Linked DNA regions of Xenopus tropicalis. The protein of the gene in region 2 purifies or fractionates together with the protein of the main gene of each other region. This does not show direct contact. Links are inferred from orthologs where the notes say so. Each region holds a gene or a part of one and is shown on either strand. Other genes may lie near its edges. The genes, in order: cryab and casp3.2.

Evidence for each region.
Region 1: the proteins of casp3.2 (region 2) and cryab purify together in Homo sapiens (affinity purification with western blotting; 3 studies listed by BioGRID). This does not show direct contact. The link is inferred for Xenopus tropicalis from reciprocal best matches to the Homo sapiens genes CASP3 and CRYAB.

The regions. Positions count from the first base shown.
Region 1 is NC_030683.2:84,496,545-84,499,173, forward strand, and holds the end of cryab (alpha-crystallin B chain), read right to left. Parts: intron 885-2,629; coding exon 681-884; 3' UTR 531-680; downstream 1-530. UniProt on the Homo sapiens protein: May contribute to the transparency and refractive index of the lens. Has chaperone-like activity, preventing aggregation of various proteins under a wide range of stress conditions.
Region 2 is NC_030677.2:44,844,001-44,847,938, forward strand, and holds the start of casp3.2 (caspase-3), read left to right. Parts: upstream 1-1,138; 5' UTR 1,139-1,219; intron 1,220-2,711; 5' UTR 2,712-2,765; intron 2,766-3,938. UniProt on the Homo sapiens protein: Thiol protease that acts as a major effector caspase involved in the execution phase of apoptosis. Following cleavage and activation by initiator caspases (CASP8, CASP9 and/or CASP10), mediates execution of apoptosis by catalyzing cleavage of many proteins.

The DNA.
Region 1 (2,629 bases), on a different chromosome or scaffold from region 2:
TTAAAGTTGGAAAAAAGGAGAAAAGGCACAGGTTACATAGCAGATAACAGATGACCTCTCTAGAATACAATAGTGTTTATCTGTTATCTCCTATGTGCTTGTGCCTTTTCTCCTTTAAATGGCTGCCCCCGTGGCTAAACAGCAGCTTTGTTTATATAAATTTCTGGGGCAAACACACCAGTTGTACCAGTGCAGGGCAGCAGTATATTTTATTCTTATTACTTTTATACACTTTCATTTTTTGGTGTTACTGTTCCTTTAATGTACCAATAGTGTCATTAAAGTCACTGCCAATGACCCTGGCAACCAGATAATTTTGGAAATTCCAAACAGAAAAGCTGTACAATGAAAAGTTAATTTCAAAAATGAATTTATGTTGCAGTTGCCTTATAATACCAGCAATAAAAGGATCATTTTAGTTTAAATTTCTGCTTTAACAGGTACATTATTAATCTGGTGTCAGCTACAGGATAACTCTAAAGCATCTCAGTAGGCTTAATATATATACCCTTACTCATATAAAAGCAATATTACAAAACCAAATGCTTATCTTTGCTTTATTTGCAGTAGTAATATGCTTTGGTCATAACGCATCATATAAACATGTATCTGATTAGTATGAGCTTTTAATCATGGCAGGGTGGAACGGTATCATTGGTGCTTGGAAGAGTCAACAGGTCCTACTTTTTAAGAGTACTGCTGATGGCTACCTTTTCTTCACGAGTAATAGGGATGCAGCGTTCAGGGACTTCAGATACCTTTCTTGGTCCAGAGACTGTCAGCACACCATCTGGAGACAGAGTTGAAGTGATGGATTGAGGGTCAACATCTGATGGAATTTTGTATCTTCGCTGGAAGTCTCTGGAAACATAGCCATGTTCATCCTGAAACATAATATTTAAATATATAGACTCAGTTATCCAGAATGCTTGGGAACTGAGGTTTTCCGGATAAGGGATCTTTACATACTTTGGATCTCCATACCTTAAAAGGCAGATTTACTAAAACTAATATCTCATTTTTTTTATTGTAAAATTTAAATAAATTCGTTTTCATGAATTTCTTACATTTACTAAAAAGTCTGAACTGGAAAAGTTGCATAAAAGTCACAAAAATTCAGAATTTTCAACTTTGTCGTAAGAAAACTGCAACTTTTTTGAATTGTTGCACAGAAAAGCAACGTCAAAAATCTGAAAACTCTGAAGGGAAACATCCTCATCCTCCAGGAAAGGGGCATCTGCCATTGATTTCAACATGATCTTAACAAGATTTAGCTGTCAAATTGTTGAATTTGGATTTTTAGCTATTTTGACAGTTGCAATTTTTTTTGCTGCAACTTTTAGCAATAAAAATCCGAATCAAAATAAAAAAAATCCAACAGTTATTAAATGGCCCCCATAGTCTGCAAAAAATGATTTAACCATTAAATAACCCCAATAGGATTGTTGTGCCACTAATATGCATTTACAAAGCTTTGTTTTCATCAAGTACAGTATAATGTTTTATCATTACAATGAAAAATGGAATTATTTTTTTTAAAATGGAGCCTATGGGAGATGGCCTTCACATAAATCAGAGTTTTCTAGATAATGGGTTTCCTGGATAATGGTTTCCATACTTGTAGATGCTAACTGTAAATATAATTCCTTGAAAACTAAACCCTAAAAATGAATATGCCTATAAATTCCATATTTTATAATAATAAACTGACTCCACTGGCATCTCTATAGTAGTAATGATATAGGTTGTTACAGTTGTCACAGGAGCTCCCCATCTCCCATGGATTCTGTTCCCCCCCAGAAACTGTCTGGGACACTGCACGTGCTCAGTGCGCTCTGAGCGGCTGTTGAGAAGCTGAGCTTAGGGGTTGTCATATACAGTAAGCTGATGCTGCAGGGTTGATTATTCAATTCTGATGAAAATGCCTTGGTTTTAGATCTGTCATGTAATGTGAATCTGAATGAATCAAAAAAAAACTAATCAGTTTTTTAATGTTACATTTATACTCTATGCAGTATATTTTGAGTCGGTCCATAAGCTCAGTAACTGACAGCAGCACAGAGCAAAATAGAGAAAAGAAGATGGGGGGCTACTGGGGTATCTTTGGAGGCACACATCTTCCCTGGTAAAGGGCTGTGCTTGCCTAGGGCTAGTACAGAAACCCAAAATATAATGTACAACATTTCTGCCTTCTTTAATTAGGCTTTAGTTCTCCTTTAAGGGAAATCTTTACAAATATATTGCATAAACAAGCTTATATGTAAAACCCTGATTCATCTAAATAAACCATTTTTTAAAAAATATACTTATTTATTAGTATTATGTGCCATTGGTTACCCCTAAATAGAAAATTGCTATTTTAAAGGGGACCTGTCACCCTAAGAAATAATTACAAATCCTTTTGGATCAGGTTAGTAGAGCAAAATAAACTTTACTTACACTATTTCACCTTCAGTCTTGGAATTAGTAGTCACAGCCAGCAGGCCGGTGCCATTTTGTGAGCACTGTTATTAAGGCAAGCTTTGTATCACCCCAAAATCTTATGCATTTGCCATCTAGGTGATGTATAGGAAGTGCTGAATGGAAGAGGCATAGAGGCAGGGCAGGCAATATATGATTGACAGCTCAG
Region 2 (3,938 bases):
AATTTCTTGGGTCTTGTATTTCCTCTTCCAATGTAAAAGCACCCAGCTTTCAACCTTGTGCTTCTATATTGTAGTGGAACTCCCCAGTGACTTATAATAGCCTTATATTTTACAATAGGGGTACATTTTTCACTATATGAGCCTATACTGATAGGGAAATACTATAATTATGGTTCCATACAATACCTGATTGAGTAGTGCACCTATTCATTGTTTTTTACATTTAAGATATTGTTTTCTTCTATTAAAGGGGAGCTGTTGCTACTGTAATGAAATGTATTTTTTTTCTTTACAGTTGTGTAGATTCATGATTTATTGATGAATTTCTCAACCCATCATGTTTTTCCAGAAGTTCCAACTAATCCCATGGCCCCAAGGTGATATAAGGATCCAGTTCCACATATTTTACACCTCATTCCTTTTCAATAAAAATGTCAAATAAATAGAAATAAAATTTCTATTAAAAAAGCCCCAATACCATTCAAGTTTGTATTATTGAGAAAAAAAATCCACCCCCTGTGCCCATTGACAGGAGAATACTACAGAGTAGGATTTGCTTTCATACTTAACCTCCTCATTATAACTAATTATAACTAATGAATATAACTATAACGTGCAACATATACGTCACCCGACCTTTTCCTTCTCATATCTCCAAACAATGCGCACATCAGCTCCCGCTGCAATATACAAATTTCCCGCCCATTCCCAAACATATTATTACTCCGCCTCTACTGCTGCAAGGTAAAGGCTGGGAGCTATATCATGCAGAAACTGCATTCCCAGAGAATTCGTCTATCGTTTGTCTTCAGCCTCCAGTCACGAACTCCTAATAGCTGCACTAGTTCATTAACTATGTAAGAGCTGGAGACCCAGCAGGAATATCCCTGCCATGGAGATATAGAGGTAACTTCGCCAGCATTCCGCTTCTGATTGGCAGAATGGCGTTACGTCACCAGTTGCTCCGTTTAAGGCCCAGCCCATTGGTCGGAACGTTTCCGTATTGTTCGTTTACAGGTTCCCCTGAGATAGCTTGGGATAGGCGAGCGCTCGACCAATCAGGCTGTCTCTCTGGATTAAACCCCCCTCCCTTACTATTTTGTGTGAGGTCAGCGCTTGTGTTGTTGCTGTCTTGGAAAAACACGCCAGACACAAAAGCAGCAAGGAAGGAACGGAGCAGCCTGTACTGTACTCTCCGCTATAGCCGCCTTGTCTCTGGGTAAGTGTGCACAATCCTAGTGCGGTATTTTTATATACACACATACATAATGTATTTATATGCCCGCCGGGTAGGAAAACAAGTTATGTCGGATGTGCTGTAATGACAAGAGGCGCTACATTCTCTATGTACGTGGCATACACCTTTATAATGTGTTCTTTTCTGCTTTAAATATTCTTTGTACCAGACTTTTGAACACATTGGCACTGAGTACCCAGGCTAGTGTGTGCTAACTAGCTTTTATAAGTTCATTCTTATGTACAGGCAGCCTGTAGTTTCCTGTAAGGCACCTCTATCAGCTCCCGTTGTTCTAATTCGTGTAAGGTAAATTATTAAAAAAAAAACCAACTTCCTATGAGCATATATTTTCTGCAAGCACTTCCTTAAAATAGTAAATTGTTGTTTATTTCTTTCTGAAAGCAGCATGTAAAATTTGAAAATGTTTGATTTTGTGTTTCCATATCAGAATGTTTCCTGGTAGTTATTTTATTGTCTGTTTTTCCTGCCATACCACAGCAGTCCTGTCTTGCTTTATGGCAGGAATTATAGTTACATGCTTTGGTGCAGCTGTGCCCTTTGTCCATATGTGCACATTTCACTAGCATCTAGGCACGTGTTCTAATAAGTAATTATAAAATCATACACTCGTGTACATTTGTGTATGTTGGCCATGGTATGAAACACAAGTAGACCAGGGTGTTGAGTACAGGTGCTTTTTAACAGTCCATGGAACTTAGAGGAAACCATTTACTAATAAGTACAGAACATAGAATAGAATGTTTTTTTCGTGTTTTTGATACATGTATTATTCTGTCACTATGAGCACTGTACAAGCCTCGTGAAAAATCTGCACAGCCCACAAGGGACTTGTACATGTAATAATGTAACTCACTAATGGCTGGCATGGGGTACATTATTCCCTAAGTATCCTGAAGCACACATTTTTCATTTAGATCATAATCCTATAATACACTGTGGTAGAGGGACAGTCTACTTCTTGTACTAGGAAGGTAAAAGATATAGATTGAGTGCTATGTTTTCTGTCCTAATTTTTATTATCCAGTCAGTTTTATTGTATAAGATAAAGATATAATATATATAAAATAACTCCCTTCATATCTAGGTACAGTATATGATCTGTGTCCTCTCCACCACAGAGTGGGCATCTCAGCCCAGTGCCTGTATATTTCAATGTATAGTGTCCCTTTAAGAATGCAAGTTTGTTATTTCTGATATTGAAGTTACAAGTTTACACATGTACCTGTGCAAGGCAAACAAATTGTTGATAAAGTAGATAAGATTATTTTCACTGACCGTGACATGATTCATGTAATAAGTATCATCATTAGCTTGTGGAGGCTTGTGTGTTTGTGTATAAACATCAACATGTTTCATTTCTCTTTGAACCGCTGTGGCGAACCAAAACGCACCGATGTGGTGAATGATGTGAATCATCAATAAACCCTTCTTTTTTCTCCGTGTGTGCTTCCAGTTCGTGGAGATATTTGACTTGTTTGGGAAGCACCCAGAACTTATTTGGAGTGTGGTGAGTACCTGTATCTGTTCTAACTATGTATAACTTATATATAGTGTATTTAGTGTATTCCTATTATCCTTATATTTGACATCACTGAGCTCTATCTATCTAGCTATATCTCTGGTTATTACCACATGCCCTTTCCCTTGGGCAACTTGTTTTTCAACATTGGTAAACTTAACCCAGTCCAATGACCGATTTACATTTGGCAGCCTGGAGCTTTTATTAATCTAGCCTTAGTGAGCTTCTTCTTCAACTTCAAAGCTTTATTACAGGGGACATATAGGAGGAATATTTTATAAGTGGGAAGTCACTTGAAGTCAGTGATAAGTACTTTAAATGTAAAGCTTATATAAAATGTATATAAATACACACACACACTGAAACCGTCAGGATTTAGGAGATCAGAAGTGTTAAAAATTGGGCCTTTGCTCTGATATAAAGTACAGCTGCTAACATTCTCAGATGTTCATGTGAACTGTTGTTGCAAACAGCTGAAGAGTCACTAGTTTTGTCAGCACTGATCTAGGGATGTGGAGAAGGAATAAATGAGCTAAACATGAGGGCAGGAGCCTTGTAAGACTACTGAGGTGAAAGTGTAGGTAGCAGTCAGGGTGTTAGGCATAATAGTAGAAAACAAATGGGCATTTTACTGATGTTTATTTATATGTGTTATTTTAACATCCATGAAGGTGCTTCCCAGTAAGGGATTCATATAGATAGACCCCCCTTCCTTTGCTTCTCAGCATTTGTTGAGCAACCCTTTCCAATAATCATTTCATATATCATGTTATTGTAATTAGAGAGCTGCAGGTTATATCAGTCTGATGAATTATCTTGATAAAGTTTATATTAAAAACCAAGTAACAATTTTGCAAAAAAGCCAGTGGTGTGTGGACTGAGATCCTTGTACAGGTATGGGACCTGTTATCCAGAATGCTCTGGACCTGGGGTTTTCCGCATAAGGGATCTTTCCATAATTTGGATCTTCATACCTTAAGTCTGCTATATAATTAATCCAATAAGGATTAATTATATCTTAGTTGGGATTAAGTACAAGGTACTGTTTTATAATTACAAAGAAAAAGGAAATCATTTTTAAAACTTAGAGTTATTTGCATATAATTGAGTCTATGGGAGATGGTCTTTCTGTAATTCGGAACTTTCTGGATAATGGATTTC